Drosophila melanogaster: one gene and its partner. The protein of the gene in region 2 interacts with the protein of the main gene of each other region in a pairwise test. Each region holds a gene or a part of one and is shown on either strand. Other genes may lie near its edges.

Region 1 (5,924 bases), on a different chromosome or scaffold from region 2:
TTATAGCAGGTACACACTGTTTGCATTTGTCATTAGTTCGTTGTTAATTAAAACGAAGCCAAAGTGCCAGACGACAGAACTCGACACGACAGAGTGAATGGAAATCAAAATGCGCTAAAAACCGCCCTGAAACAATGGCAACACCTGCGTAATGCCCTGGCCCACCCAAAACCCTTTACACAAAAAGTCCTGGAACAAAGCCCGACCAAATGCGAATGGAGTTGGGACTCCGGAGTTACGAGCCGTTGTCCTGGCAACGCCACCACCACCAAAGCAAATTAACAAAACAATAATGTAGACACGAAAAATTGCAAAGCAATAGTAGGCACTTTGCAGGACTATATACTCCTAAAGTCCAGGTGTCATCATGCACAGATATAAAAAAATTAATTTTGGAAATGGTATTTCATGTGGGTCAAAACACTCAATCGTTAATTGTCATTCCAGTACAGAACGTGTTTTTTAGATCAAAATGTAGTACTATGTGCGAATCTACAACAGACACTACTTTAATCTTTGTCTGAGCCAAAGATAAAGTGTCCCAAAGTGGTCTGTCTGGACCAATTTTGGACTATGGCCACCTTGGTTAACATATCCACCATTTTGAGCTTGGGAATTGGCCAAAGGCGAATCGTAGTTGCGGGCCAGATGTCAGGCTCAGATCTCCACGGTTCAGCTCGATTCAAAAATAAATGTCCATTAAGATTAGTTGATTTTGCTTTCGATAGTTTGTTTTTCACCTTTTTTTTATTTTTTGGACGCTCTTTGCTGGTCTCTAAGCAAATGCGGTAAATAATCGAGAAACTCCCGAAAAGCTCACTCCCAATGGTGGCACCTCTTACCAGTAAAGAGACCGTCGTAGACCCCCACTTTACCCCCATTTTCCACTTGGCATTTCATGTAACACGAAACCTTCCCCAACCAGAAGCATTCCAATTGGAAACGCCCATCATGAGACTCGTTGTTTAGAGTGAAATGGCTATGGTGGCTTAGTAGCTACTCCGTTTATCTCGCTCGCACTCCCACGCAACACCTGCTCTGGTTGACCGCCCTGCCTCTGCATTCTGCATCCCTTTCTGTCTGACATTTTTTATCTCTGTTGCTCTCGTCTTTTTTTTCCTGACGTCGCAGTTCTTGGATTTTTTTTTATTCTTTCCTTCACGAAATGTCACCTGGTCGTTGGGCCTCTCTCTCACCAATACAACGATATTTTTGCTCTCAATTTTGAATTTGTTGTGGATGTAGTTTCTTTATAAACAGGCTTATAAAAAACATTTAACAAACCAATAAGAAAGAAAGCTCTCGGAAAAAGTATTAATCCAGAGCGAGAGAGAACACAAGCTTTTGCAGAGAGGATTTGCTGAGTATGTGTGTGTGTGCTTCTGTGGAGCGATACTGTTACATAGCAGCTGTCTCACCGCCCCACCTGCCACGCCCCCCGCCCCATTCGGTGACTGAAAGACTCGTTTTTTGGCTCGTGTGTTTTTGAAGAGAGCGCGCGCCAAGTTTTTAGTTACGCGTCGGAACGGATCCGTTGAATAGCCGCCAAAGCGCGCTTAGATGCAGCAACAGCCAACTTGGCCAAGAAGAGCCGATCAGCCAACAGCTAGCGACGGTTTTAGCCCCCTCACAAGAAACGCCAAGAAACAACCGATATTCGCAAAAAAAAAATACAAAGGATAATACTAAAAACATAAACAAACTGTTCTCGGTAAATATCCCAAAGTAAAAGTGAATCCTAAACAAACCAAACTTTTCTTTCCCATTTAACTAAATAATAAAACACAAACCAATTCAAAAAACAGTGCTCATATGATATCAACTTTCAACGCTCGTAAAGTGCTCATAGAAATGAAACAAAATACAAATCCAAATAAAGCAAAGCGATTTAAAAGTCTCATAAAGTTTTGAAATCCTAAGCTACTTATTTATCTTGCAAACTTCAAATCAAACAAGCTCCATTCTTTGTAGCATCAAAACATTGGATGCACCATAAGTATCTTATCGATGAATGGAAAGCAAACAACACACGTCAACATAAACTAGTGATATCCATTGGAAAAGTGTTCGTCAAACAGATTCTGTTACGAAACAGCTCAAGACCATAAAAGTCAACAAATTCAACATTTTATGGCAGTTCGGAAAGTGGAATTCATAAGCGACAAAAACAAACCATAAACACATATTATCCAAATAATTCGGTAGTATATTCCGCATATATGCTGCCATCGAATATTTGATTCCAATCGCCGGAAAACGGGAAATTTAAAGGAAATGCAGAACTCTTCGAGGTAACTTCATTGAAGCCAAAACATTATGGATTCTTTAGTTAGTTGTTTAACTTAGCTGCTTTGATTTTAATTAGCAAAACTACATATAAACACATTTACTTACATTTTTTTAGTAAAAGTAAAATATGATCTATGATAAAGTCTGATCCCATAGAACTGAGCATAAGTCTTAAAATTGTTTTCCAAGTTAATTGAAATTACTTCAAGTCAGAAAGCAGGTAAAAAATCAATTAAAAATCCCTTTAACCCTTTACAAATTTCATTTAATTCACCGCCGTTCAGAACGCAATTTGAACAACTTTTCTTGACCATCAATTAGGTAAACACGGAGAGAGCTCCACATAATGAGTCTGAGTGCGTCAGATACAAGGGGAATCAACAGATTTTATTGTTTGGATAATTTCAGGATTTTCCTCTTTTCATTTTCTGCGAAATCATTGTCGGAATCTTTATGCCCCACTCGAGGTGTGTTTACTTTTGCTTTCGATCTTCCACTTGAATTAAAGCAAGCTCGTTTTCTTTCTCTGAGGGGCATTCAAAGTTGTTTGGTTAACTTAATTTCGAAATATAAATGAAAACCGACTCAAGGTATGTGAAAAGCCGCAATGAAAAGAGAGTCAAAAGCACCAGAGAATTTGAAATGACGCAATTAGAGCAAATAATAGTAAAAGAAATAGGGAAAAACAACGTATGTTTATTAATATATTTACACAAAATGTGACAACAATTGAATTTAATGTGACGCGCCCCCATCATATAGAAATCGACTTTGGACCAGCACACAAAAAACCCAATTGTGCAAACAGAGTTTTCTGAAATTATTTTGCGCACCAGATGTCAATCGAATATTTTTACGCCATTCTTTTGGCCATTGTGTTCGCTTTATAAATTTGCTCAAAAAAACAGGCATAATCCAAAGAAGAGTATGAAAAAATTCTAATTAATACCCGGCTGTATCAGCACACATATGGTTAGCTGACTTTGTATCGGTTCTTTTTCTTTTCGATAGCCCTTTGGATAGCCCTTGGCACAAACTTGACACTAAACCTTGGAGGAGCAGGGTATGTGGTTATCGAGACACTGGCACGTTTACGAGGCGATTGTTGCGAGTGTGAAAGTTCTTAATTACAAACATTAGGGGGCCCAGCGACTTAGGGCCCTGAGAAGATCCGATCGCAGCGGGCGGGCAAGACGACACTTTTGAATGGAGGGTCTGCTGGGACCGAAAACCCGGTGCGTATCCGCGATACATTTCAACACAAAGTGGAGACACTTAAAGCTCTACCTGTGTTGAAGACGAGGTGGAAGACTGCAGACCGCGAGACTCCTCTTCGCCGCTAAAGAATGAGCAGAAGAATATGGCTGGGGGAGAGATCTCGGGCTCAGCATGTGGCTAAGCCGATCATAATTCTTGTTTGACATACCAACAAACGGATGAACAAATGAACGCGAAGCAGCAACAACACGGCCAACTTGGTCGGGGGTTACGAGTGGATCTATATGGCCCCCGAAACTCAAGTGGCCAGCGGGTTAATTTTACTCCTACTGCGATACGATACGAAGTCCGAAACAGAAGAACGGCTTCAGCACTCGATTTCCATGAGAAAGAGTCGGACATAAGGTGCCTCTGGTGGGTTATCTATTAAGGCTACTAGATTAACACCCTGAGAAGACCCACGCTTTTGGGTTTAACGGTTACATTTCCGTTACAAATAAATATCGGAGCTGCATTTCGGTCTGCGTGGAGGTGCAGCGAATCAAAAGGAGGAGCTGGCATATTCACAGCAAATAAAAATATCTGGAGTGCAATTTGTGCACAGCTGGTGGTGCAACCGTCGATTCGGATGGTGGCCCTGTGGTGCAACTGATACTGCAACTGCGACACTGCACCACATCGGAACAAGTGTTATGTCCACATAGTCATTTTCGGTTTTATTGCCATTTCAATTACTAGAATAATCACAAAATTAAATTAGTTCGAAAATAAAAATCCAAACATAAATGCAACTTCATATCAATTGATATATGCGTAGTGTTTTCAAAATATGAAATTTAGCGTATACCTTGAGTGGAGGCACAAATAAACATAATCAATTCATTTTTCTCAGTGTATTCTGCCAATTCGCAACATAAAAAGGAGGAGCAAAAATATGGAGAGCAACTTGACAACACAGAAATTTGTTTGCACTCCATAAGGATTACAAATATGCGTGTCCCTTTGCTAACCGCTCCCCGTTCCCAGCTCCCCCTTTTCTTTTAATATAAATTTCATGCTTAATACGCATGCTTGGGCAATTTTTACTTTAACACCAAGTGGTAATGCCCGGAAGCAGTACAGATGTCGCCTCGCATAGCCCAACGCAAGTTATTGACCACGATGCGTTGCATGGCCAGAAATGCCAATGAACAGGGCCAAAAAGAGAGACTGCGGAATATGGCAGCAGAGAAAAAACAGTCGAATTGGACAGATAAAGATAAATAGTTTCGAACCACAGTTGGCCACTTCATAAACCCAAGGATATTCCAAAATTATTGAGTACACGTAACGATCCAGAAATAGTTTTATGTTTTAGATTTATGAGTCTCAACAACTTTTTAGTAGCTTTTTATCTACTATAGGCTGTAAATCCTAAAAAATTATATTTTCTAAATAATTTAATAAGTCTTTAGCTTTAATAAAAGCAAGCAACTAATAGTTTATCTTGTACAAGCCCTATTATACATATACATTTTGCAATACGTACAATATGGGATCGCACTTACCTCCTTAAGTAAACAAAGAATGCTAAATGTATGCTACTTAAATAATTTCTTGGTGATTATTTTAAGAAGCTTAGCTATTTATAAAACAGATGATTTAAACATAAAGATCAAGAAATGTGTCAACGGCATTGTTTCTTTTGAAAATATTACCACGTTTTAGTGATACAAAATATTTGAATTATCCCAACTGAAAACAACAACCACTTTATTTATCTTTTAATAAGAACGCTTAAGTGTCCTCCCTAATTAAAATGATTAGCAATGATCATGATTATTCAGATGTAATACTGATAAACTTTAACTAGAAAGTGAATTAACCTGATAAGTTTTTACATGAATTTTAAAGGAATCCAATTCAATTCATACTGCAAGCAGTCCACTTTAATTAGCTGACTAGCCACTCAGATATAATTATATTATGAATTATTCCCGTTTGCGTTCGCCAACAACTCGCAGTCGTTTCCCTCCCCTACGCCTTGTGACCCCTCAATGCTCATTGGGGCATTGTTAATCAATTAACTAATTGATTTCAGCTCTTAAAAGTATGTCGTCTGAGGCCCATTCTTCGGGGACAAAAAGAAAACAATGCCGAGTGGAGTCGTGGACTTTTGGGCCAAAAAACCCACTTGCGAGCCGCGCTGGCGGTTGCCACCTCAACTCGTCCAGAATCGGACTCACTCCTTTTCAGCGCCCATTGTGTGGGCCAAATGTCAACCCTTAAAACCGACCGGGATGCACAATAACACAACAACAAATGAGACGACTACGACGACGTCGTCGTCCATCCTTTCCATTATGCGACGGGGCACTTGAAACCCATTTCTTTCCCATTTTACATTTTTGTGTACTCTATTTGCACCCGAGCCGCTT
Region 2 (6,365 bases):
CACGCAGTTGACGCATATGTCGTGGATGAGTGTTGGGAGCTGGCAGCAGCGCGATTTCAGGGGCGGATTCGACAAGTCGATGGAATGGTTGCGCAGAATGATGGAACCATCGCCCAGCAGATAGTACTGCTCGCATAGGGCGGGCTCCTCCTGGCCTGGCCCCAATGGATTCAGGGTATTCTGGCCCTGACCGTGCCCATTGCCGGTTGCGCCATCGAAAAGCATTTTGATTGTCTTCTCTGCAAAATAAATAGCAAAACGGAGATTTCCAGTTCAGGGTTAGACACCTCAAGGACGCCGCTCTTCCATCAGCTTCGATGGAACGTGACATATAACAGCAAAAAAAAAAGAATATTTACTTGATTTGTTTGAGGTCAGCGAGAAGTGCAATCAGAACCCTTAAAATTTCCAAATTGCAATGACAGTAAAATAGTGAGACCGATCGCGGGAAACAAGCTGACTTGACCCTATTCAAAATGCCAAAATCAGTAAATCACAAAATCGATTAGTTTCCAATCGATTCTTACTTGCAATTGCGAATTTCTGAACACTGTAGCAGTTTATTGCCAATCTCTTCGTGGGGTTATCCTCGTAAATTTGTGGTCGCTGCTTTGCTCCATTTTTTGTTCTCGTGTTTAACGGTTTAAACTGAACTCATCTTTGCATTGAGCAACAACAAGCCCGACATAACTGCACTCTGAGCGGCGCTGTCTCTCCGATCTCCCACCCGCTCCATTACAGGAAGGAGAGTAGGTGAGTTGGTGCAAGTGGGACAATGCTTTCCATACCAAGGACCCTCTTCATCTTTCGTGGTCTGCGGGGGTCGGCCATTTCTGTTCAAGATTGTCTGCCCATGGTCTCAGCTCTGAGCTACTCCAGGATGCCCTGCGGTCCAGCACCAAGCTTCTATTCGAATGCTTGGCGCGTTGAATTTCGCAAGGATAATAAGGATCGGACTAAGATTCGACGCTCTCAGGGGCCTGAAAAGCTGTAAGAAGAGTACAATTCGCAAACTGTTCGTCCTTTTGTGGGGCTGCATCTGACCTTAAAAACTCCATGCCTAGACGAACTAGGGATAGATGAATGCTTCCGACATATCTGATCATTGTCTTTAAGACTAACGAGGATTTCCTACTGCTCCTGCGCCGTCTTTCCTCACAAGAGGAGCAAATGGCACGCCCTGCGTCGCAAACGCAGCACACGGCGCTCCAGAATGTGCTAACTCTTTTGGCTCTTTGCCAAATGCTCGTTGAGCAGCGTGAAGGGAGCGGTGAGTCTTCCCCAGTACCTTATTCTCCTTCCCTAGTTAATAATGTTCTCTTTAGATCCTTAATGACCATTTCAACCGGAACCCAAAGACTTGGCATATTCTGGTCATGCCCTATGACTCCTAGAGGCCCAGCGCAATCTGGCCGGGAATCGTACGGTCCCTCTCACAGGAGAGTCCCTGGATTGCCTTCTTGGCAGCATGTTGGATGTAGACATCAAGTACTTGATCAGCCACGGCGGCAGTTGGCAGCTATTTGTGGATCTGTATAATGCACTCACAGACAACCTGATTGTGCTGTTAAAAGAACACAGTAACCTGATGTCAGACCGAGCAGCCCAGCCCAGTCTCCTGTGCCAGGATCTCATCCAGGCTATCGGCCGGAAAGAAAGCAGTTACAGGACATAAGTGAAACGGAGCTGGTTGGTAATACATTTGACATTGTGTCGTCCCAAATTTGTACTGCTTCAGAACTTAAAATTTAACAAGCACCGCGACTTTATAAGTGCTGGATTGTGTAAAGCCTTAGCTGAAGAACATCTGGCAGTGCTCGCACAGGGGATCCTTCTCTTCTTCAACTCGATTACCACTGGAAATAAGATGATGGTCGATTGATTTTCAAATAAAAGGTGTTCCCAAGGGGGATGCTTCTTTTAAGGACTTAACTCACAATAAAGTCACGCAGCTGCGGCAAATGAACCTGGAGCACTCGCCGCAGGAGTAGCCACACTCCTCGCAGAGATCCATCACGCAGTTGACGCATATGTCGTGGATGAGCGTTTGGCGCTGGCAGCAGCGCGATTTCACTCTCTCCAGGCGCGGATTGGACAAGTCGGTGCGAAGGTTGCGCAGAACGATGGAACCATCGCCAAGCAGATAGTACTGCTCGCATAGGGCGGGCTCCTCCTGGCCTTGTACCAATGGCTTCAGGGCATTCTGGCCCTGACCCTGCCTATTGCCGGCTGCGCCATCGAAAAGCATTTTGATTGTCTTCTCTGCGAAAGAAATAGAAAATCGGAGAGTTCCAGTTGAGTTAGACACTTAAAGGAGGGTTAGACACTCAGCTTCGATGGGACGTGCAAAAGAACAGCAAGAAAAAAATTAAAAAAAAAAATTTATGCGTAAATTCATCGTAAATTAGAGGTCGCTGCTTTGCTCAATTTTTTGTTCTCGCGTCTAACTGTTCAAACTGAAGTGAGCAACAAGTCCGGGATAACTGCGCTCTGAGCGGCGCTATCTCTCCAATCTCCCACCCCTCCATTACAGGATCGAAACAAGATAAGTTGGTGCGAATAAGGCAATTTACATACCATGGACCTCCTTCATCTTCCGAGGATCACGGGAGTCGCACATTTTCTGGTTCACAAATACCTTCCGCTGCGTGAGATTGTTGTTGGCGTCGCCATCCGCTGATCGCGATCGTTTTGCCGCCTTTTTACGGACCTGGTTTTCCATGATGAGATACTGGCAGATTGTTGGGCAGATCGGATAGGAACGTCTTGAAATATCAATTGAAAATCCTTTACTTTCAGGTTTCCTAACTTGCAGGCTAACAGTTAATCAGTGTCCCGTTTTGCTAACAATATTGCCTTATTAGAATAGTGCTACCATATTAAAAAATACATACAAAAGCGCCGACTGCGATCAATTTTTTTATCGTCTATCGATCGAATTTGCGGTTAGGCGGAAAATTCAAAATGTTTCTGGTTATGAGCTGTTTGGAATAGTCCAGCATTTTTAATTTATCAGATTAAAATGACTGAAAATATAAAATTTATTACATTTGTATAATATATATATATATATATATATATATATATTTGTATAACTATGGATTTGAATTGGATGCTTGTCTGCTCGCTCGTAGTTTTAGCTGAAACATTTATATAGCCAATTTTATTTAAAAAAAATTTTGTTTTAGGTAATTAAAATAAGAAAGGTAGAATTTTTTTATTTCAAAATACCCATAACCAACAACTATCGATATTTATTGACTATCGGCCAGGGTTGCCAGCCGTGCGGAATTTGTTCACTTTCCCGGAGTAGATTTTGGCCACCTTTTGTGTAAAGACACAAAGAAAACCATGCAATTAATGGACGCCGACTGCTGATGCGATCGGAATTAGAACCGCGAGCAAGCGGAGCTCACAGTGACCGTAACATCCAGATCACAGATACTCGGAAGGATCGTAAAGGACACGGAAAATGGTGAGGCGGGGGGCTCCGGGCCAAACGCACTATTTTGCCAGTGATTCAGAGTGATTCCACCTAACCGGGAATTGGTTTCCACCCACCCACTGTCTGTGCAGCACGCCGCATCTTTGACGACGGTGGAGGGACTGCTGCAGGAGTTTTATCAGCCCAGCACCTCCAATGCCCGGAAACGAGAGATCGAGACAAACCTCTTGGCCTTCAAGTCCCAGCCAGAGGCGTGGCAACTTTGCCTCCGTGTGGCCACCTCTTCCGACACCACGGAGAATCAGTTCCTCTGGTTCTTCAGCACCTCAACCTTGGAGCACACAATCACGCGGAGATGGACACAGTTGACGTCCACGGACAAGACTTTGCTGCGGGAGACCCTTTGGAACTCGTATGCCCAACTGGTAGCCACTCCAAATGTGGCCAAACGGCACAGGGACACACTGGCCCAGTTGATAGCCCTACTCGGAAAGAGGGAGTTCCCTGAACAGGACCCCAATTACATGCAACACTGCATGGAACTGACAAAAACACGGTTTCAACTTGGCATCAACCTGCTTAAGATCACCTCCGAGGAGGTGGTAAGCAACAGGGGCGACCTGACCACCGAATGGAAGCAGTACTTCTACTCCTGGTGGGTAAATAGAGCGAAGAGGCTAAAATCGTATGTTTTTTAAAAAAGGTTTTGTAGTCCCATACTTTTAATGTCTGTTTAAGACTACTTGGATTTTTAACTGAGTACGGCGTATCAGATGGTCGATGTTTTCGAGCATAGCGTATTTTTATTATTAACTTTGGTGTTATTTGTTTAAATACACGATTGCGTCGCACAACATAGAATAACACAATCCCAGACCTTGTCAGTCCGTTCTTGTTTTTGGTTTATTAATAAGTGTTATATTGAGATTGAGTATGTATATGGCATAACAACTAAAGTCAGCTGACCTCTTAAAACTCAACTAATTGAACCGTTAACCCAGTTATCATATTATATTGCTTTGTTGAGAGAAAGCACTATAATTACTGGTCAGTTGCCACAGCACTGTTCCTAACCCATTTTGTGCTCCCTTTTGCCGTGTGTTTCTGTAGCATCTCCATGTGTGTACCCGATGTTCTGGACCTGGTAACCAAGTATCTGCTAATCGCTGTATGCCACATCAATGGCAAAGACATCCAAACAACCATACCAAACACCCTCATGGACTTTAGTCTAACCTCAGCGCTGCCAAATGACAATCAATTAAGGTGGGTCATCATAACATTCAAAAGAGCATATGTTCATTACAACATTTTGTTATAACATCTCTCTATATACTCCGCAGTTCCTCAATTTTGGACCTGCTAGGATGTGTGCAGCACTTGGTCTCCTGGATACGCACTGAACTGATCTCGGAGTACTTCCTTATGAGCATACTTGACCTTTCCCAGTGGCGACCAGCCCATGAGCCCATCTCCTTGGCGGCTCTCTCTGTGTTGAATGAGCTCCTCTACCTCCAGAAGCCACTGCCCTTCCCAGGACCCTTGATGGGCGGCGTTACCAGCCTCCTGGAGCAGCACAATAACAATCGGCGGCAGAGCGAGATGTACAGCGACAAGTTTCGGGAGCTGCTGCGCCTCTACACCACCAAGTATGCCGCCAAGCTGATGCAGGAGCCAGACCTGCTGGAGACCTTTCTCAATCTGCTATACAGCTGCACCACTGAATGTGAGTCGCGTGATAAAAATATTGCCTTTTGAGATGCTAACTTATTTTTTATTTTGAGATGATCTTTTTGCTGTGTAGTCATAAAACACTCGCAATATTAAATGGGTTATGTGCATCTCGTGATCGAGATTTCGAAATGTCGTTGACAAAGATATATAACAAAAGTTATTAATTTTGTATTCCCCAAACAGTACACGGCGCCTTGGACTTCACCGAAAAGCTTGAGATCTGGACACCCATCATCAAAGGCATTGCCCAGCACCCCGCCAAAATCACGCGTTATAACAATGTGCTTACCCAGCTAGTAGATGAGATTATGAGGCGCACTCAGTTTGAGGCCAACAAACCCGAGCTAGAAGTGCTGGACAACGAGCTCATGGAGGACGATGTAAGTAGCTCTGATTTAAAGTGTTTTTAGGTGACAAATTTCAAAAACCAAGAAATAGACCTTGCATTAGAACGATCTTCATTTTATCTAGACATTCATCCAATTTCAGACCTCCGCCACTGAGTGGCAGCAGTTTCTAGACCAATGCTTCGAGTCCCTGGCCCTACTGGCCAACACCAGAGGTGCACACATCGTTTTCGCACAGGTCTATAACCACTGGTCACGGCCACAGATGTATTTACTGTCCTTGGAGCACGCATTGGACCACGGAAGCGCTCGAAGCTACGAAGCGGCACGTAAACTGAAGGGCGCCAATGTGGGCGAGATTTTGCGCGACTTTGCCACCGTCTGCCAGGCGGTCGTGCGTTTGGCCCCATTGATGGACTCATCAACAGCAGCACCCGGGGTTGCTGATGAGATGGAGTGCCAGCTGCAGATGCTGTCCGACAGTTTGCTGCAGACTCTACAGCTCCTCGCAAGCAATCGTTTGTATAGCGGCGGCAGCGAAATGGACAAAGCTACTTTCCAGACTGATTTGGACAACCTGTAAGTGGGGCATCCCTTTGCATGATGTATGTGATACTATGCTTTCTTGATCCTTCAGATACGCTCAAGTTCTACTGGCCATGAGGAGCATCTTTCCGCTAACGAAAGCCATGAGCGGCGAGGAACTGCTGCACCGCCTGTTTGCTATCCTGGGCAGCATTTTCGCATGCAATGGATCCTTAACGGCTGCCTCCCCCATTGTGCAGCAGGCGGCAAGCGAGCTGCTGCTTTTCATATCGACTGTGATACGGCCCAAGTGC

The links. Proteins that work in one complex are often made in the same cells at the same time.
Region 1: the proteins of CG13373 (region 2) and Sox21b interact in a two-hybrid assay, tested with the Drosophila melanogaster proteins (one large-scale study listed by BioGRID).

Annotation. Positions count from the first base shown.
Region 1 is NT_037436.4:14,126,925-14,132,848, reverse strand, and holds the start of Sox21b (Sox21b), read left to right. Parts: upstream 1-1,524; 5' UTR 1,525-1,711; exon of another isoform or gene 1,712-2,291; intron 2,292-5,924.
Region 2 is NC_004354.4:473,504-479,868, reverse strand, and holds CG13373 (uncharacterized protein), read right to left. Parts: upstream 2,886-6,365; 5' UTR 2,723-2,885; coding exon 2,578-2,722; exon of another isoform or gene 2,263-2,577; coding exon 1,938-2,262; exon of another isoform or gene 1,857-1,937; coding exon 1,793-1,856; 3' UTR 1,678-1,792; downstream 1-1,677. Other genes in the region: CG32817 (uncharacterized protein), read right to left, coding at 1-225; ebo (ellipsoid body open), read left to right, coding at 3,473-3,475, 3,577-4,100, 4,556-4,711, 4,789-5,171, 5,363-5,559, 5,669-6,105, 6,164-6,365.